3 linked regions of the Schizosaccharomyces pombe genome follow. Changing the gene in region 1 together with any one later gene gives a genetic interaction. Each region holds a gene or a part of one and is shown in the gene's direction. Other genes may lie near its edges.

Region 1 (8,382 bases):
ATCGGTAATGAGACCTGAGACAAATTCGGGTGGTGTAACATCCAAAGTAGGATTATTTCGAATTTGTTCTTCATTCATGATCAGCTCGTTATGAATAGCATCTGATGGAGTTGGAATTGGTTCAGGTTCAGGATGAACAGTTTCAGGAGATGGATCATCAAATTCCAGAATAGGACGACTAAAGGGAATATCATATTGAGAAAGGGGAAACATACGCACGAATTTATGACTAAAAAACGTTAGTACAAATTTTAAAATTAACAGGGAAATGGAGAGATCATAGGGAAAAATAATTGTAAGCTGAATGGATTCAACGTTTACGTACCTTTCTGCAACTGCGTAAAAGGGCTTATGTGCATGTTTGGCAAAAACGGCAAGTTGGAAAGTACCGATTTGATTAATGAGTCCTCCGTTTTCGACAACACCTTCTGCGCCAACCAAGACCAAATCTACACGGTTCATAGTAAAGCTTACAGCGGAATCCAAAACCATGCAAGTAGGAATACAAGCATTTTTTAATGTTCTCGTCATTAGACAGCCTGAGCCGCTAGGTCTTGATTCTGTGACAAAAACTTTGAAACGAACGTGACGCTTGGCAGCAGCCAAAAGAACAGCCGCAACACCGCGTGAAAACCCATGGGTAAGAATAACACTACCATCTCGAATAAGAGGGTAACCTAAATGTGCAATTCTTTGTCGACAAGCACGAGCACGCTGAATAAAGAGTTTTCCATTTTCTACCAAGTGACGTTTGCATTGCTCAAAATCCTAAAGCCGTGGAGAATTAGTAAAGAAAAGAAAACTACTTTGCATCAACACATACCCCGACATCGTGTAGTGATCGAGTGACAAACCGTTGGAAAATGTCACAACCAGCTGAAAGCGAAATGTTGTTTTGAACGCCTTCCTTCAGCGTATTTGAGCCATTTTGTAAAATGTCCATAAATTCTGAAATTGTCTTGGCTAATAGAAAAACATCAGTAAATTCATTTCTCACATGAGTACTACAAATTAACATACCTTGAGAGCGCGACAAAAGCTGGACTAAAGCCTCAATGGCGGCTACAGGCATCGTGATTTCTGGATCATCTTGCAAAAATTTTTTGTAAACCTGGACGATGTCAAATTCTCCTTGAGAATGTCGAACGATTCCCGAAGAATCCGATTCCACCATATTCGCAGATGCTAGACGCTCTTGCTTAGTAGCAACATCTTTTCCATACTTTAAGGATATCCAACAAAATCAAATAACGGGCAATGCCTTTTTGTATTAAATTGTAAGCTACGCAATTTGGTATCTGATTTAAGGATACGTAGAACTGCGGTGAGTTTTCCTTGTGATCTATTATATTACAATACACAGGTTGTATAAGTAGCAACTGAGTATAGGTATTGTATTAACTGAGTTATAATGTTACCTATCACTAATATAGCTCATAACTGAACTGAGGAACGAGGTTCAGCAGTAGCTCTATTTATATTATTCAGATAATATAGATCTTAATAGATTATCATTAAGATCAATCTCAATATCGTATCATACATGGTACGATATATAATTAGAACATGTGACATATAGTGATACGCAACGTAGATGATGCGATGTCGAGATTGATATTGATAATACTATATTAACAGATAGATTATTTGGATAGAATCGATAGAGATACAACTAAACCTCATTTCGCAGTTCAGTTATAAGTGATAGGTGACATTATAACCTAAATAGTACAATACCAGTACTTAGTCATTACTTATATAACCCGGCTATTATAATATAATGGATCATATGCAAAATTCACCAGTTTTTCGTATCGTTAAAGCAGATACCAAACTGCGTAGCTGACATTATACGGCGTTTTGGATACTGATCTACAGATATGTTCCTATAGATATTTATGTAGGTGATTTGAATGGTATTTACATATAAATTGGTTTATTAAATAGCTTATATTTAATTAAAGCTAAATATTGAGAATAATTTTAATATCATATTCTTGACTGAGTACATCTGAGGATAATCATGAAATTCTTCCTCGGTGATCAGTAAACAATGCTTGACTGTTGATTTCCAATATGTAACGTTCAACGATACTTATCATTGTATAGATAGTGAATTTGTAGTATAATTTACTATGTTCCTAATAGTTGAGCGTATCATGAACGAAATATGTCAAAACGCTTCCATTTTAAAAAAAAAGGAGTACTGATGAAAGCAGTAATTGGATTTGGTAAAAAGTAATATAGAAAGTTTTTTAAAAAACTATTTTATGTTTAAGAGACCTTTCAAAAGTTCATGACCATTTCTACGAGAAACTAATCTTTAGTCCAACCTTCGTAAATCTCGCTTATATTAAGCTTGATTTTACTTCGGTATTTATGGATGACGCGAACACTAAACTGGTATAGAAAAAACGCTATTACTTTCAGCATCTAAAGAAAATCATTTATGATAATTTCTATGCTTTCAATTATATCTAAATATTTACATGCTCAATCATTCAAAGCGATGCTACAAAAATATTATGTTTTAGTTGTCGACTCGAATTTCAGTAAAATCCTAACTTTATTGCTAGACATCCGTAGGTTTTCATTTATGCTATAAATCTGTGAATCACCTCGTGATCGGCAAGTTGTTAAAATAATCTTTTAAGTAACTCTAATACCATGCACTATAGTAAAGAAGGTATATATTTCTTTGCGTGCCTAGTTCTTGTTTTCAATAGCAATAGTCGTTATCTCCCATAGCTTTTAATTCTGCTCATCGATGAGAGTAACATATTCCAATATCTTCTCTACATTATCAAATCGTTTTGCAATTATAAAAATATCAATAGCTTTCGATTTCCCCCAATATGGCTAATGCTAAAATTTATAACATTGATGTAGAATTTGGCTTAGTTAAGATGCAAGTTGAAAATGTCTTATGTTTTATGATTATCAGAAAATGTTTTGTGTAGTATCTGATATTAAAAAATGCATATCAACTTTTACAATAAATTCGCTTGCGCAAAATGTATAGAGACTGCATATCTCGTTTCTTCTCCCTGCGGAGTGCCTGTAACTGGCGTCTTGCACTTTCATTCAAAATCGAAATTTTTTGGTAAGGATTTGATAGAGATTGTCACTTGGTAGCATATTTTTTCTATCTTGAATTCCTTTTTCTAGGCTTTTGTGGCTCTTGGCCGTCCACTCTTTATTTTTGTATTCAACTGTTTTTTAATCACATAAGTCTAGTCATAATCTTTTGAACCAACTCAAAGCTTCTTTTTTTTATTTTTTTCTTTGTTAAAAAAAGTCTTTATTCCTTTTATTATATCAGTTTATGGATTTCATCGTGTATGGCTTTATGTGTTCATTCCTTCTGGGCAACGGCGGTAGACACAGCGACTTCATGTCATTTTATATCATCTGAAAACTGCTTAGTTTTATTACAAGCCTTAAAAATTAATATTTATCTCTGTAGTGAGGTTCATGGCTTACAATTCTTTACCTCTATCCCTTTATTTTCTACGGTGAAACATATACGCCCATATCGCCCTCCAGGATTAGATAGAGACTATTTATTTGTAGTTCTCAATGATGATACTTATTTTTCGATTTATTGGGACGAGGATTATCAAAAAGTGATCGTCGACCATCCTCCAGTTCGCTATCGAGTTACATTTCCTTGGAATCGCAACGCGAAAAGCTACTGCCTTGTCGACTTAAGGATGCGTGCTATTTTTTTAAGCATTGACGAAATTTCCATGATATGTATTAGAATCCTTTCTGCCGAAGAACGGTTGAAAACTGGCCGTTCTATAGATAGCGGATTTCCTTTTTCTTTTCCAGTGCATCTCATATATGATATGTGCATTCTCAATGATTCCAGTACCCCAACTCTTGTGGTCCTTCACAGCGATGGCTTAGATTGTTATGTAACAGCTTTTCTTTTAGATTTAAGCTCAAAAAGTTTGGGAAAGGGGATTAGACTATTTGAGCGGGTTAAACCGTCAATGATCATGCCCTTTGGAAAAAGAGGTTTGCTGGTTTTTGAGAGTTTGTTTATTCATTGCATGTATCGCGGTAATTTTGTTACAATCAATGGTCCTTGTACTACTTATATGCATTGGACTCCTTTGAAAGGGCAAAAGATGCATTATATTGTTTGTGATACTAATGGATATCTTTTCGGAGTATATTCGAGTATCTTGGGAAAAAACAAATGGAGCTTGGTTATGGAAAGACTACCAATCCCACCTTTCGACTTTATTACTTCTCTAAATTCCATCCATGAGGGACTCTTGTTTATCGGAAGCAAAAATTCGGAATCTAAACTTATTAACCTGTCTACTTTGAAGGATGTTGACTCAATACCCAACTTAGGACCCATTCATGATTTACTAGTACTCAAAAACGACATTGAAAAAAGTTTCCTTGTATGCGCAGGAACACCAAGAAACGCTTCTTTAATTTATTTTCAACATGCTCTGAAATTAGATATTTTAGGGCAGACGAAAATCTCGGGCATCCTTCGAGCTATGGTCCTACCATCATATCCAGAGCATAAGCTCTTCCTCGGGTTTCCTAGTGAAACTGTTGCTTTTAATATCAAAGAAGATTTCCAGTTAGAGCTAGACCCATCTCTATCAACCAAAGAAAGGACGATTGCGCTTTCAGGGACGAATGGTGAGTTTGTACAAGTCACATCTACTTTTCTTTGTATCTACGATTCTGCAAAGCGCTCTCGTTTAGTTTATATTGAAAAAATCACGAACGCTGCTTGCTATCAAGAATACTCCGCAATCGTTATCAATGGAACAGCATTGGCAATATTTAAAAAAGATACAGAAGTTGCACGAAAAGTTTTTGAAAGTGAAATTTCTTGCCTTGATTTTTCAGCGCAATTTCAAATAGGAGTTGGATTTTGGTCTAAGCAGGTGATGATACTTACATTCTCAGATAATTCGTCAATTAGCTGCGCCTTTCAAACCAACGTTCCATCATTGCCCAGAAATATTATTTTAGAAGGAGTTGGTGTTGACAGAAATCTTCTTTTAGTTTCTAGCGGAAGTGGTGAATTTAAATCTTATGTACTTTTCAAAAATAATCTGGTATTCTCTGAAACAAAACATTTCGGTACAACCCCTGTATCGTTTAGGAGATTTACGATGAATATTGGTACCTATATCATATGCAACAATGACTGTCCACACATGGTATATGGGTTTAATGGAGCACTATGTTATATGCCGCTTAGTATGCCTCAAAGTTATGATGTGTGTCAGTTTCGTGATAACTCAGGGAAGGATTTTCTCATTTCTGTATCATTAGGGGGCTTGAAATTCCTTCAACTTAATCCATTGCCAGAATTGACCCCAAGAAAAGTACTTTTGGAGCATGTTCCGTTACAAGCCATTATTTTTCAAAATAAACTGTTGCTTAGAACACTCGAGAATAGATATGAAGATTACGAAAGTTACAAGGAAAATTATCACTTGGAGTTGGTCGATAGTTATGATGATAATTCGTTCAGGGTTTTTTCTTTTACCGAAAATGAACGTTGTGAGAAAGTTTTGAAGATTAATGAGAGTTCTTTACTTGTAGGAACAAGCATTATAGAACAAGATAAGTTGGTGCCGGTAAATGGAAGATTAATTTTGTTAGAGTTTGAAAAGGAGCTTCAGTCTTTGAAGGTAGTTTCGTCTATGGTACTATCTGCGGCCGTGATAGATCTGGGGGTATATAATGATCGATACATCGTTGCATTTGGGCAACAAGTTGCAATCGTTAAACTTACCGAGGAAAGGCTTATGATAGATTCTAGGATATCACTAGGTTCTATAGTTTTACAACTCATCGTAGAGGGTAACGAGATTGCTATAGCGGACAGTATTGGACGTTTTACGATTATGTACTTCGATGGCCAAAAGTTTATTGTCGTTGCCAGATACCTTTTTGGAGAAAACATTGTGAAAGCAGCATTATATGAAGGAACAGTTTATATAATAGCAACTAATAGTGGCTTGCTAAAACTTCTTCGTTATAACAAAGATGCAAAAAACTTTAATGACAGATTCATTTGTGAAAGTGTGTACCATCTGCATGATAAAGTTAGCAAATTTCAAAATTTCCCAATAACAAATACCAATTCGTTTTTAGAGCCAAAAATGCTTTTTGCAACGGAAATTGGTGCTATTGGGAGTATAGTATCATTAAAAGATAAGGAGCTAGAACTGGAGGAACTTACAAGAAAAATTCGAAAATTAAAATTTTCATACTTGTCATCTATGGACTACGAAAGTATAGAAGCAGACCTCATTTCTCCAGTCCCGTTTATTGATGGAGACTTGGTTATCGATGTCAAAAGATGGGCATCTTCAGAACTTTTCCGATTATGCAGAAGTGTAGAACATAGGGAATCACTCAATTCTTACCAAAAAGTTCAAGCCCTCCTTGAGGAAATACAAAGTTTATGTTAAACGTATTATTGCCTTTTTGCTCTGAGTTATTATCTTACACTTTATGGATCATTGCAAATTTGGAAGTTTGGTTCTAGGACTGTATTATGCATTTGTGAGTAATACAAAAAAAATCTTTTGATTTATAATTATAAGTCACAAGCTGTCGCAACATGGCACTGATAAATACAAGTACATAAAGCTTGGTTAAAAAGTTATCAGTCTCAATTTCTTTCGTAAAATCTTCTTCGAAATTCAAGATATTTGTCATAATTGTTGCATCGCTCATCTATCTAAGACGAGATGACATATATTCTGGATTTCAATAATTAAAATGAAACTATTAAATTTCATATGACAGAAACTGAGCACTTCAACTGGCATAAAAGCTCAAAGGAATTTTTTAAGCTAAAAAATTAAAAAAAAACTTTCTCCATTTGGCGATCACGTGTTGCCAAGTATTTTTGGAGTGTAATTAAACTGGAGAAACTCTAGTGTAATTTCTCTATAGGAAGCTAGGGTCAGAGGAAATTAGGATCTTAAAAATTGTTAGTAGAATAAAACATGAACTAAATGCTTACCTTTGGCAAGCCACTTTTTGATTTGATCTTCAGTTTATGGTCTTTACAGGGGATGGTTTTCTGAGTAAGAATATCTGTAAAACTTGAAGGCACTTCTTTCCAGTGTTCTTTCAAATCTATTTCAACTTTAAACGACGAGGTAGAGCCTTCATTGCTTATGGCTATAATGACTCCTGGACGAGTAAATACATAAACTGAATCGTCAATGTATAGTTGAAAAGATAGCACGTATGTAAACTCTGGGTAGGTCTCAACCAAATTTTGACGCGTGCGTATCATTGAAGAAAGATGTCTAAACATTGGATTGGAAGTATTGTATTTACTTTTCCAAAGACCTTCTCTGTTGTCAGGATCGCTACCACCGTCAAACATCTGTTCTTGTCCATAATAGATAATTGGAATACCGTCCATGAAAATAAGTGCAGTTAATGCGTTAAGAGCCAGCTAAATAAATGTTAAAATATATAAAAAATGCAGGTACTAAATTGAAATATTGTTCAATAGACTTACGGCGATGTCTTTGGTTTCATGAAAAAAGCGAGGAAAATCATGATTTTCCAAAAAGTTACACAAGACGGTAACATCTTTGAAGTAATGTCGAACATCAAGTACGGCCTTATCATAAAATGAAAACATAGAATGTTTGGGGTCAAGAAAGGTTTCCCGCAATTGAAAAAATAAAGGGAAATTTAAAGTCGAAGGGAGATATTTTTGATAATCCCCGACGACTTTAGGATCTCCATGAAAAACTTCTCCTGTAGTAAATACATTAGCTGCTTCAATAAATGTTGGGAAGAAGGATTTTTCGACATGTTTGGCTGTGTCCAATCTGATACCATCAAATTGATAACGTTTAATTAGATCAGAAACCCAATTTTGAAAAAATTTGCGAACTTCATTCTTTTCGGTTCGAATGTCTGGTAGGTTCACATGTGAATCTCCTAACCAACCTGTAATTGTCTCATGGGGATCATCGTAATTTTGTACAAACTGCCAGTTGTGATAATACTTCCCAGAGTTAAATGGTTGATAAAGTAAGAAGTTTACGGGTTTGCTTCCGGCATGACCCATATGGTTGACAACTATGTCAACCATGCAAAGCATATTTTTCTCATGAATTGCATTGACTAGTTCTTTCAAATCTTCTTCTGTCCCAAAATTCTCGTTTAACTGAGTCATATCTTGTGCCCAATACCCATGATATGCCTGACCACAATCCGTAGTCTCAGATATGTTTTTAACTATTGGGCTAATCCATATTGCCGTACATCCCAGACTTTTAATGTAATCAAGGTTACGAGTAATACCCTTCCATGTACCCCCAAGGTAAAGATTTCCGCTAGCTTTTGCATAAAAAT
Region 2 (6,872 bases), on another chromosome or scaffold:
CATTTGTTTGATATCTATGGACTTTGCTCATGCACATCGTACAAAGCCGTTTATATGGTAATGCTTTAACTAAACGAAATTAATCTCTTTTTTCCAAAGATGCTAAAGAACTTTTATTTATTTTCACATTCGTTCGGCAAGTAGGTAATTTCCGTCATAATTCTATAAGAGGCGAATATGCAATTGTTAATATATTTACATCTTGTCCTTTCACACTTCAAATAATAAATAATAAAGCAAGATTAAAAGCAAGAAATACAATTGAAAAATCGTAAATATATACAGAGATTTTGTCTTCGGTATGGCCTATTCCACATTGAAAATTTCGCAACCCGGTATGGTGGCTACAATATTAGTTACATTCAAAGTGTATTTGTTGAATCTTTTGTGCACAGTATATGGATCTGAAATTTCATTCTCATTCACTAGAGGCATCATTGGTAATATTGAATCCCTGGCATGTTATATTGGGCTTTGTTTTTTTGTTTATGGTATGAAGGGATAGGATTAAAGGCTTCGTTCAAAAAATATATCTAATGTACAGTAGGTATTCTGCAATCAAATTTTGAGTTTGTAGTCTGGTGAATTTATCGCACCATCTAATTGAGATCGACAATTATCAAGGGAGCTTTCACATAGAGTATTAAGAAGCACTAGAGATATGGGTCAAAGCATGTATGGTTTTTTGTTTTCTTTATTCATTTTTTCAAAGTTTAAATTTAAATGGAACTTTTTAAGGCATGTTGGCACCACCGATTTGCAATTCAAAATTGAACCAAATTAGCAACATTTTGGATTGGCTACTGTTAATCAACCTTTAGAGCCTGCAGAAAATTTATCCAGAAATGGAGTACATGACTTCTCCATTGTCATTCAAAATTAACAAGCGAAAAAACCAAATACCAACATGTGCTTCTAGAATGGGTTATGGGTTATCGCGTTCTGAAAGTTGGCTGGAGACTCAATCTTTTTTAATTGACCTTGTTTATCTAATGAGCTCAAGTTTAACCATTATTAAAAAATGAATGCTCGAATGCAAAGGTATTTGGTTCCTTACTTTATTAATTTTGCGAGAAGCTTGTTTATAGGCATTCTTTGTACCGAAATCAAAACCCGATAGTCAAATATAATAGTTTTTAATCATTATAAAAATGGCGATGCGACTAATTGTGTAAAAAGTTTTTCTATGGACAATCTTACTGTTGTTTCATTTCTTTTATTATTATAGAGCAATTGAACATACTATTGTTTTTTAAAAACGCTCAACTTTCTTATTTAGACACAGATGGGTTAGACTCCGTGCTGCACACTGATACAAAGTCAGCTACGCAGTTTGGTATCTGCTTTAACGATAACATAGAACTGCGGTAATTTTTCCTTGTTAACGTATTACAATACACAGGTATTACAAGTAGCAATTGAGTATAGGTATTAAATTATCTAGATTGCATTGTGACCTATAACTAATATAGCTTATAACTGAAGTTCATTCCTCAGTTCAGTTGCAGCTCAATTTATAATCTTTTTAGTCTTCATTAGCCAGCGTCTATGTAAATATGAAAATGGTTTTGCGCATTTATCAATAAACTGCTCTAAAGTAATATCCTAACATATGACATATAGTGATACGTTACGTGTTCTTCATTAGAGCAGTGTGTTGTTAACACCGTATTTCCTTTACGGGGCGATTCTCCGTTTCTTTAAATTTTGACTTCTGTAAAGGAGTGCGATTCAACAACCTGGTCGAAATACAAACTGTTATAACATGAATTGGCATTGCTAGTTTGGATTGTTGTTTGAAAGTTGATTTGTATATTATAACTTTAAAATTACTTTGTACTTGATACCTTTTTCAAATTTCAGAGCTTCAATTTTGCTCTGAAATTGAACACATCGACTTTATATATTTATTGCTCATTACTAAAAAACATTCAGTTTTATATTCTGAGTTCGCGGTCGTCTATTATTTTAGTCCTTTAGCAATTGTCATATTAACATAAACCCTCTCCTTATTTTATTTTTTAAATTCGTTCAGGCATCATTTGGAGGGTTTGCTAAAAATCATCTCACCAAACAAGAGGTTATTAGTTTTGCGAATGTCGCCTAAACAAGAGGAGTATGAAGTTGAAAGGATTGTGGACGAAAAATTGGATCGTAATGGAGCTGTCAAACTATATCGCATTCGATGGTTGAACTATTCATCTAGAAGTGATACTTGGGAGCCCCCTGAGAACCTTTCTGGATGTTCTGCCGTTTTAGCAGAATGGAAAAGGCGGAAGAGGAGACTAAAGGGAAGTAACTCCGACTCGGATTCACCGCACCATGCGAGCAATCCACATCCAAACAGTAGACAAAAGCACCAACATCAAACTTCAAAGTCAGTGCCTCGTTCTCAAAGATTTTCGCGGGAATTGAATGTAAAAAAGGAAAATAAAAAGGTTTTTTCTTCTCAAACTACCAAGAGACAATCTCGAAAACAATCCACCGCTCTGACGACGAATGATACTAGTATCATTTTAGACGATAGTCTTCATACAAATTCAAAGAAGCTGGGGAAGACGAGAAATGAAGTGAAGGAGGAATCTCAAAAAAGAGAACTAGTTTCCAATTCTATTAAAGAAGCTACATCCCCCAAAACATCTTCAATTCTCACAAAACCGCGAAACCCTTCCAAACTTGACTCTTATACCCATCTAAGTTTTTACGAAAAGAGAGAGCTATTTCGTAAGAAACTGCGGGAAATTGAAGGACCCGAAGTAACGCTTGTCAATGAAGTTGACGATGAACCCTGTCCATCTTTAGATTTTCAATTCATTAGCCAGTACCGCTTAACACAAGGTGTTATCCCGCCTGATCCAAATTTTCAATCTGGATGCAATTGCTCGTCCCTTGGCGGTTGTGACCTTAACAATCCTTCTCGTTGTGAGTGTTTAGATGATTTGGATGAGCCAACTCATTTTGCCTATGATGCACAGGGGCGGGTCCGTGCAGATACGGGTGCCGTTATATATGAATGCAACTCTTTTTGTTCTTGTTCAATGGAGTGTCCTAATCGCGTTGTTCAACGTGGTAGAACTCTTCCGCTTGAAATATTTAAAACAAAAGAAAAAGGATGGGGTGTACGTTCGCTTCGATTTGCCCCTGCTGGCACGTTTATCACTTGCTATTTAGGAGAAGTCATAACTTCAGCAGAGGCCGCCAAGCGTGACAAAAATTATGACGACGACGGTATTACCTATTTATTTGATTTAGACATGTTTGATGATGCTAGCGAGTATACAGTGGATGCTCAGAACTATGGAGATGTCTCTCGTTTTTTTAACCACTCCTGTTCACCTAATATAGCTATTTATTCTGCTGTTCGGAACCATGGATTTCGAACCATTTATGATCTCGCTTTTTTTGCCATCAAAGACATTCAGCCTCTAGAGGAGCTTACATTTGATTACGCTGGTGCAAAAGATTTCTCACCTGTTCAATCTCAAAAATCTCAGCAAAATAGAATTTCAAAACTTCGCCGGCAGTGCAAATGTGGTTCCGCTAATTGTCGTGGCTGGCTTTTCGGTTAAGCTAATTTATTACTGGTTGACTCCAATAATTACAATTTGTTTTTCTCCATTACTGTTAAACTGAAAAAGGTCATTCATTTTCTAAGCAACGAGATTATGTATATTATCTGACCTGTGGGATTTGCCGAACAATTATCGGTAAAACATATCGGTGCTTATATTTTTTACACTTGTTGAAAGCATTATAGTAATTGTTGTAAAGCCTAGCGTTAATGGAAAAACTCTTTTCATCTGCTGCGCACATGTGAAGTAAAAAGGGCGTTTAAGCGTTAACGGTAATGGACCGTCCTTCAGAAGCTATAGAAGGAGCTGCTTCTGTTTCGAGCACCTGGGGCATCTGATTGTTTTCTCCTTCTGCTGAGGCGAGGGCATCAGTTGTTTCTTCAGCTGGGTCTTCTTGTGCAGCTGTTCGAGGCGTTGGAGTTGTTGTAGGAGTTAAGGGAGTTTCCGGTTTTATTGTGGTTTTTGAGAACTGGGAAATTTCTTTTAGTCTCCCGTCTTTATCAAACTTCTTATGCACTTTTTTTTGCACCAAACCTGAGAGCTTCTTTGAAAGGTTGGAAGGAAATATCTCAAATCCTGCCTTAGCAAATTCAAGGGAAGGATCTGCCTGTAAAGTTTTAACACTTTTGGTAGGTTTAGCATACTTGTGAAGCTTAAAGCCGAATACTCTCTTGTTGCCTCCTTTTTTCTTCTTATGATGCCGATGATGCTTTTTTCCGGCTTTCTTAGACGTTCTATCTTCATTGCTGACAACACTCTCTTCATTAGTAGCTGCAGTGGAAGGGTCTTGATCGTCTGCAGTAGGGGTCGCAACATCGGGAAGTGCTATATCAGGAAGTGCAATATCAGTCTCTTCTATGAAAGCTTGTTCAACTGATTGGGCTGTACCTTTAACATCTTCTTCAATGGCGTCTGCTATTTGACCGATGGGGGTTCCGTTATCATTTTGAGTAGAAGCTTGCTCAACATTTTGAGTTGATGTTGATTCTTCTGCCGGACCTGTGGCTGGTTTTTCTTCTGATGCGGGAGCCACTTCTTCCGTAGTAGCAGGAAAATGTTCTTCAGTGGTGGGAATTTGGTTAGTTTCATTCTCAGGAACTTCGACTGATTGTGCTTCAACAGTAGTATCAACCGGGTCAGCTGACGTTTCATTATCAATGGGACTAGCCGTATCGTTTTGCGGAGTTTTCCCCTTAATCATGTTTTGAAAAAAGTCAAAAAGACCGTCTTTGGCAACAGAATTGTTTTGTTTTCCGCCATGAGATTTACTAGATGACTTTTTCGCGTCCCGTCCGTTAGAAAGCATTGGAAGGAAATAACGAAATGTTTCACTTGCTGAAGGACCTGAACGAGCTGCTAACTTGCCGAGTCTTTTAAGCGTGTCATTGTAAGCACGAAGCTCTTTAATTTTATCTTTGGTTTCCTTTTTCTTAGCAATGGCATTTTTGAGATCAGTAATCCATGTATTTTTACTTTCTGGGTCTAGGGCTTCAAGTGTTTCTGATTTACCATTGTTAAAATTGATGGTGAATTTGTTTCCAGTACCGGGTTCTATGGATACTGCATCAGTCTGAAAATACAGTTAGCACGGTTAAAACTAAAAATCAGGGGAATTAGGAATTCTTACCAAATTAATGATTCCGCTTGGGACACTAGTTGATTGAGATTTGGAGTAAAAGAGTAAACCACGGCAGTCTTGAGTAGCTTTAGCGATACGGTTAAGGTGATCATTAGCAGACTGGAAGAGGGAATCAGCATCAGAGTCGTGCATTTGCTCAGAAGCTAAGGAAGGTTCCGTTGGGTTACCTTGCAAAGTACCATGGAAGTGTTTTTTATAATAATGGTCTAATAAATCCATAGACATAGGGCCTTCTAGCATATAAAAATACCTTTTCATGACATGACTACATGTGGTTAGTAAGATTACTCAATCGATTGTTTGATTTTTAATAAATGGATGCTGTTTTGACTTACGGAATAAGTCCGTTGGATCGACAGTATAAATACCCACCAGTGGTGTAGGTCAATGGTTTTTCATCCTTGGCTTTCTTCTTGGATTTTTTTTCTTCAACCTTGGGAGCTGCCACGCTGTTTGGATCATCATCTGCAGGATCGATATTGTCGACTGTTTCAGGCTCCTTGGGTTCCTCAGGTGCTTGTACTTCTGCAGGAACAGCGTTTTCAGTGGCATCATCATTGTCGGTTTCGTTGCTCAATGGCACCTCCAGTGTCTCCACCTGGGCCTCAGCAGATCCCGAATCATGTTCATTGTGTTCCGACACATTTTCGAAAGTAGGTTCAGCAATCTGCTCAGGTCGTTCTTCACGGCCCTCATAAGACATGATAAGAAGTCGAAAACAACAGTTAGGCTCTCAATTTTGGATTTTTTTTATGCTGTAAATATTTGTGGTAGAGGAAAAGTCTGCGCCAAGCTGGTTATTTGAATACCAATTGTTGGCGAGAATGTAAACAAACAAATCGACTACCTAATATACAAACAAACGATGGACATCAATAGAAAAGGGAAAATACATAGAATTTACTTTTTAAATGTTAAAAAATTTCTACTAATTCATTCTTATTAATAAAATCTTCAACGGCCATTAAATCTTGTATTCGCTCATTCGTATCAAAACATATACATTCTTCTGGAATCGAGCTGTCTGCGATTGAATGAACTATATAGTATTGAGAGATTTTACAATTAAGTGTTTGTCTTTAATTTCTAATTGCGACTACCATCCTAAAATTTTCATTTGAGTTGAAATCTGTTTAACAACAACAGATGAGCCATATTTTTCATTGACTTTATACATGATTGTCACCATTAGTTCCTTTTTTTATAAAAATTAAATGTTGTTTAACTATTCTGCTCATTTGTTTTGCTTAAAAACTAAGTAGGTTTTAATTGGTAAGAATTTTACGAGATTTTAAATTTTTATTTATTTACTTATTATTTTTGACGAACGCTAGTTTCAAAAAAGCAAATCCAAACTCGAGGTATTTTCAAATTGTTTAAAATTTTCAATAGAATGGAAGGATGTTTTTTAATGCTTTCCACATCTTTGAATTGGAAATTTCCTTTTAATATTTACACTTCTTCCAAGAAAACTATAGCAATTTGTTTCATTATAACGACATAAGTTTGTAGGAGAAAAAGTGTGAGAATATAAAAGTTCCATAATAATACATTATTCTCTATGGATTAATTATTTTTTTTAAATATTTTTTTAAGTTAAAAAGCTGGTCTTTCCATCCATGTAAAAATTGGAAAAGGAATATCGAGAAAGCAAAATAAAC
Region 3 (6,153 bases), on another chromosome or scaffold:
GTCCAGGAGAAGCTACGTACACGGCGTCCCAGGGTGAACTAGGATCTCCCAATGAAGCAATTGCTGAGTAAAGGGCAGTGCCACTACTACGATGCTGAAACGTCCATTCGCGAGTATCTTTATTTAAGGCTGCTTTAAATTGAAAATTTCGAGAGACATTAACAATACGTTTATAAGCAGCTGATTGAGTATTTCCTTGCGCGCCTGAAGGCATTTCTAGAGCACTTAACTTCACCGAGGAGAAGTGACGAGAAATATAGAGAATAAAACCAATGAATCACTACAATAAGCTAGCAAAAAACTTTAAATCAATGTCGTTTGCGCTTGTTTAAGCAGATGATTAAACGTATAGAAAGTAGGAGACCGTACTATAAGCTCAATATTACATTGGACAGTGTACCCTAAATGACGGAAAATTCAAATGACCGAGAGAGGTAGTAAGACACCGAATTCACCGATATGAAAATGGAAATTCCCTGCGAATAACGAATATATGATGAATGAACCTTTTTACTAATGAATTATGAATAACTGATAAATGAGATGGTGTTCGTCATTGCCCAAGCTTTTGAAATGATGTGAAGACGCTAACACTGAGATGGTAGAACAAATCTGCGACTATGGCGCTGAAAATTCATTTCCATTAAAAGATTGGGGAGCTGAATACGTATCATTATTTCCATTTTTCCTTGTAGGCTTTGGACATGCCTGATAAGCATCGTTTAATGCAGGTAGAAGTGTATTTAAATTTTTACAAAAAGAGTTAATTGCATCACTAGCTTCTAACAAATGCTTATAATGATTATATACCAAAGATCTATGGTCGACAGAAAGCCCTTGAATCGAAGCAACCAAAGATTTATCACGCTGCAATAATTCGGCTGGTGTGGCTTTCTCCATAAATTTAGAAACGTAAGCATTTGAATCGAAATTTGGATCTGAGAACTCTGGATCAACTTTATCTAATGCTGTTTCTTCCACTGGCGAAACGGTATTAGAGCTAGACGGTTTTCGAGTTGTAGAAACAGTTGAAGATGAGCTATTTGAACCAGGTAGATTATAAAAGTCTCTTAAAGCTTGACGGCGTTTACTTGACATATTGTACAATTTACTTAACGACAGTGCTTAATAAATAATGAAATAAATGTATCTACAAGGCCAGCAACGAACAAAATACTGTTGCCGACAGAAAATGCTCTAGTGATAGAAATGAGTGAATAACGTACTCCTGTACATCTTTATATCATATATCGATGCTTCGAATATTTCTTTAAAACATTCTATTGCTTTGTTTCATATTGATAGTTTGATTAAAAAGTTTCGATACTTTTATTGCTGATCTGGTAGCAAAATCTCAACGCATTTTAAAAATGCATTTTCGCGGTATTGCGATTCTTTGGTAGATGACAAAAACAAGACTAACGATTGCACGCGTTAGAAAATTACATAACCATACTTCAGCTTCTTTTTCCATAGTTATTTCCATTAGTTATGATAATATTCGATAATACAGAGAGCGTCAAGCATATATATATTATTTAACCTTTGAGCGTTTGCTGTTCTTCTAAACTGAATTGTAGGCTTAGTGTTGAAAGAGAATTTAGCACTTTTAACAAAATCTCATTCTTTCTGTTAAACTAGAAATGCATATTTAATTTTCTTAAATTTAGTTTCCTCCCCTTAAAAGTAGTTGAATATTTGATTTAAATTTGCAAATATATTTTAACTTCAGTATACACTGAAACAGTTTTTTAACATACAGTAAACTTGCCTAACCTCGTGCAAAGCGGTTTCTTCTGTTCATTTTAACATTTTGTTGAAAAGTCTTCTTGTTATATAAATAGACAGTTTGACGGATGGAGTTTATGCAACAGTACTTCCTTCTTCAGAAACCAGCTTGCATATGATTTGGTAAATTCAATTAGTATCATCGCTACTCTCTTTTGTTGTACTGAAAAATCTAAGCTCAAACATACGCTTTCCCGTGTTTATAAGGTGTTATTTTATGCTTTATTAACTATTTTACAAGGGAACCTTACATTTGGCTCTGTAATGTGCAATTACTGTTATCAAAACTCGAAATAGTATACGAAAGATTTCCAGGTTTCTGAAAAGGTTGTTTTACCTTTAAAATGTGTCATTCGAAAGAAGTAAAATTTAAAACCAATTTTCATCACCCGTATACCCCATACGATATCCAACTAGAGTTCATGCGCAGTTTGTACTCTTCCATCAGCGATGGAAAGATTGGGATTTTTGAATCACCAACTGGAACGGGAAAAAGTTTGAGTTTAATCTGTGCTTCACTTACTTGGCTAGACGAACATGGAGGTGTTTTACTTGAGGATAATGAAAAATCTAATGACAATAAATCTAACACATCCTCAAAAATTCCAGATTGGGTTCTAGAGCAAGACTTGAAAATACAAAAGGATCTAGTAAAAGAAACACATGCACGGCTTGAACAGCGCCTTGAAGAAATTCGAAAGAGGAACCAAAGTCGCAAAAATCAAATGAGCAATAATTCAACTACATACCACAGGGAAACAAAAAGGAGGAACATAAACGCAGAAGCCTCAACCTCAGACAATTGTAATAATTCTAATACTTCGGTTGATCCGATGGACGAATATCTAGTTACAGCAGAATATACGATGCCATCGACTTCTGAACAATCTGAAGATTTATTTAATAACGGTTACAGTTCCAAAGTCTCTGAACTATTGCGAAAATTAAGTCCCGATAATGAAAAACCACCTATAGTTCAAAAGGTACGAATTTAGGTGCTTATAAGGAATATTCATTTAGTGGTAATATTTTTCTAACCTACTGCTAGATATATTTTACTTCTCGAACCCACTCTCAATTGCAACAGCTTGTTCAGGAAATTAAAAAGCTCAATAATCAAACCTTCTCAACGCCAATACGAGTAGTTTCTTTGGCTTCTCGTAAGAATCTTTGTATTAATAATGAAGTCCGGAAACTTCGACCAACGTCTGCTTTAAATGAAAAATGCATTGAGCTTCAAGGTACTTTAACAACTTCACTAGATTGAAAATTCAGTTTAATATTAACTTTTACATTTTAGGATCAGCTCACAAGTGTCCCTTTTTACAAGACAACACTCAATTATGGGACTTCCGGGATGAAGCACTTGCTGAAATAATGGATATTGAAGAACTCGTAGAATTGGGCCAGCGTTTAAAGGTCTGCCCTTATTACGGAACGAGGGAAGCAGTGGATTCAGCTCAAATTGTGACCCTACCTTATCCTTTATTGCTACAAGAATCAGCACGAAATGCGCTTAATTTGACTCTTAAAGACAATATATGTATAATTGACGAAGCTCATAACTTGATTGATGCAATCTGTTCCATGCATTCTTCTTCCATCTCGTTTAGACAAGTTTGTATTGCTGAAACTCAATTGCAACAATATTTTCTGCGGTTTGAAAAACGTCTGAATGGTAATAATAGAATGCATATAAAGCAATTGATCAAAGTTGTCTATAACCTAAAATCTTTTTTTTTAAATTGTCTAGAAACTAATACGAATTCAAAAGTGATCAATGTCGATTCTTTACTGGTATCAAATGGTGCGGATCAAATTAACTTGCACCATCTGTCTGAATACTTGAATGTTTCAAAACTAGCAAGAAAAGTCGATGGTTATACGAAATATATGCATTCATTGGGGACACAAGAATTGGAGTCTTTGAATGATCTTCGTAGTGAAAGATTTTCAAACGGCAATGGATATGAAGAGGATCCATACACACCGGTCCTAATGCAATTAGAATCTTTCTTACTGAATATCGCCAACCCTGCTCCTGAGGGGAAACTATTTTACGAAAAACAAACGGGGGACAATCCATATTTAAAATATTTGTTACTCGATCCATCCAAACATGTCGAGATATTGACCGAACAATGTCGTTCAGTGAATTTAGCTGGTGGCACCATGTCACCGATTGATGACTTTATAACCCTTTTATTTTCAGATGAACAATCTCGTATACTTCCATTTTCATGTGACCATATAGTTCCTCCTGAAAATATTACAACCATTCTAGTTTCTCAAGGTCCTGCAGGCGTCCCTTTTGAATTTACACATAAAAGAAAAGACGATGAGAATTTATTAAAAGATTTGGGAAGGACTTTTCAGAACTTCATTTCCATTATCCCAGATGGCGTCGTGGTTTTCTTTCCCAGTTTTGCATTTTTGCAGCAAGCTGTAAAAGTATGGGAAATGAATGGAATTACAAATCGTTTAAATGCAAAAAAACCATTATTTATTGAAAGTAAAGATTTTGGCGATAATCCTTTGGATACTTTTGAACACTATAAACAGTCCGTAGATGCAGGCTTGAGTGGAATGTTGTTTAGCGTGATAGGAGGAAGACTTTCAGAAGGAATCAACTTTTCAGATAAACTTGGCCGAGCCGTAATGGTGGTAGGAATGCCGTTCCCTAACTCGCAAGATGTGGAATGGCAAGCCAAGGTCTCATACGTAGAGGAAAAGGCCAAGGAGAAAGGCATAAATGCAAAACAAGCTTCACAGGAATTTTATGAAAATACCTGTATGCGAGCAGTAAATCAAAGTATAGGTCGAGCGATTCGACACCGAGATGATTATGCAAGTATAATTCTTTTGGATTCCAGATATAATCGATCAAGTATACAAAGGAAGTTACCAAACTGGTTAAGCAAAAACATCCATTCTAGCCCTAATTTCGGACCTGCTATACGGCAACTTGCTACTTTTTTCCGGGCTAAAAAGATGTGTGATTAGACATATGGTTTGCGTTACAGCGTCAACATAGGCTTATTTTAGAATTACGCTTCGCATATTGTAAATAGATTACTCTATAATTTTTAGAAAATACACCTCTCTCGTATTTACCGACTACTCAAATCATTACTCGTCAAAGGTATAAAAACAAGATCTATTTTGAACGTCAATTAAGACTGCACTAATGGTGTCGCAAATGAAGGTTGTTTAGGTAGAAAAAAACCAACTTGAGAAAAGTTACGACTTAGAGCAGGAAGAGGCCTCTGCCATGATATCCAAGCGTCACGCTAGGGACCGCTTAATTCAGTCCATCGAGCTGTAGATGATCCGTTTATTTACTAATTCAAAGTTAGAAGTCTGCAGGTCTGAGTAATATAATACAACACTTACGATCTAGCTCTCATCTTTCTTCTTTTACGTTTAAGGCGTCTCACGCGTTTCTTCCTCCACTTATCACGCATTGTGGTTATGGATGACTAGCAGACTAGGCAATATTTCATCTGTATAGCACATTGTGACTGCTCTTTTAAGAACACACAATACGGACGTAACACATTCAAAAGTACAGTCAAGTAACAGAATTACTCTAGTATGTCAAGGAACGAAATGTAAACATACAAAAAGTGGTTAATTACATATTTTATTTCAAATGATCCGTCAACGATAGTAAGTGATTTTTAAGTGCTTCCTTTTGCATATCTTTTTTGAAAGGTTCAGCTCTTCAAAATCAGATTTAATAATAATCCATTTAATGCTATATCATCCATTCATATTATCCTTTAATGACAACATACCTGATGTTGTTGTATACGACTTGCGATCTATTGTCAAACGCTGTGTAAACTTCAAGCATACTACATACTTTAGTTTGTAAACCGTATACAGAACAGGTATATCATAAACATTCTTTAAAGTCTAGTAAGTAGTCTACAGGGAAGGTGAAACGCATTTTTGTGCCATAGAATAGTATAAATTTATTCTTAGACATTGTAATTAGACTGCTATATAAGATACTGAAAGCATCCGGAACAAGTACTGTGTTTTTAAGTCGAACTGTTAAACTCCTTGACAATTTGAGCTACTTTAATCATCTATTAAAAACAAATTTTAAAATGCAACGTTAACCCTTTGGTACTAAAAGATACCATGTAAAAAATGTATAATCCAATAAATTTAAAGGATATGCTAGCAATGTATATGAATACCAATTGTGTATAACAGAATGGATTTAATATCTGTAAAAACTGAATGATACCTTTTTTAAAGTAAGAGATAGAGGTGGCTTTTTCTTTTGCGGCATTTGCCAAGCAAACAACACCACCCCAAATATTTAACGCAATCTCGCTCCACTGCACAAAGCAT

What was found. A genetic interaction does not mean that the proteins touch.
Region 2: mutations in rik1 (region 1) and clr4 together harm fitness less than expected from each alone (positive genetic interaction), as found in Schizosaccharomyces pombe (4 studies listed by BioGRID, with this or other methods).
Region 3: mutations in rik1 (region 1) and chl1 together harm fitness more than expected from each alone (negative genetic interaction), as found in Schizosaccharomyces pombe (3 studies listed by BioGRID, with this or other methods).

Annotation. Positions count from the first base shown.
Region 1 is NC_003421.2:1,464,833-1,473,214, forward strand, and holds rik1 (CLRC ubiquitin ligase complex WD repeat protein Rik1), read left to right. Parts: upstream 1-3,049; 5' UTR 3,050-3,341; coding exon 3,342-6,464; 3' UTR 6,465-6,948; coding exon of another isoform or gene 6,949-6,981; 3' UTR 6,982-7,024; downstream 7,025-8,382. Other genes in the region: translation initiation factor eIF2B alpha subunit Gcn3, read right to left, coding at 1-229, 326-768, 824-963, 1,021-1,174; SPOM_SPCC11E10.09C (alpha-amylase-like protein), read right to left, coding at 6,949-6,981, 7,025-7,468, 7,535-8,382. UniProt on the Schizosaccharomyces pombe protein: Component of the Clr4 methyltransferase complex (ClrC) which contributes to the establishment of heterochromatin by specifically methylating histone H3 to form H3K9me.
Region 2 is NC_003423.3:453,272-460,143, reverse strand, and holds clr4 (histone lysine H3-K9 methyltransferase (Suv39) Clr4), read left to right. Parts: upstream 1-1,733; 5' UTR 1,734-2,096; coding exon 2,097-3,569; 3' UTR 3,570-3,831; coding exon of another isoform or gene 3,832-5,142; 3' UTR 5,143-5,199; coding exon of another isoform or gene 5,200-5,476; 3' UTR 5,477-5,546; coding exon of another isoform or gene 5,547-5,914; 3' UTR 5,915-6,148; downstream 6,149-6,872. Other genes in the region: pleckstrin homology domain protein Meu6, read right to left, coding at 3,832-5,142, 5,200-5,476, 5,547-5,914. UniProt on the Schizosaccharomyces pombe protein: Histone methyltransferase which contributes to the establishment of heterochromatin by specifically methylating histone H3 to form H3K9me. Part of the Clr4 methyltransferase complex (ClrC).
Region 3 is NC_003424.3:5,396,982-5,403,134, forward strand, and holds chl1 (ATP-dependent DNA helicase Chl1), read left to right. Parts: upstream 1-1,763; 5' UTR 1,764-2,132; coding exon 2,133-2,771; intron 2,772-2,836; coding exon 2,837-3,029; intron 3,030-3,088; coding exon 3,089-4,791; 3' UTR 4,792-5,122; coding exon of another isoform or gene 5,123-5,129; 3' UTR 5,130-5,181; coding exon of another isoform or gene 5,182-5,252; 3' UTR 5,253-5,429; downstream 5,430-6,153. Other genes in the region: trehalose-phosphate synthase Tps2, read right to left, coding at 1-214; GARP complex subunit Vps51, read right to left, coding at 619-1,098; rpl4101 (60S ribosomal protein L41), read right to left, coding at 5,123-5,129, 5,182-5,252. UniProt on the Schizosaccharomyces pombe protein: ATP-dependent DNA helicase important for chromosome transmission and normal cell cycle progression in G(2)/M.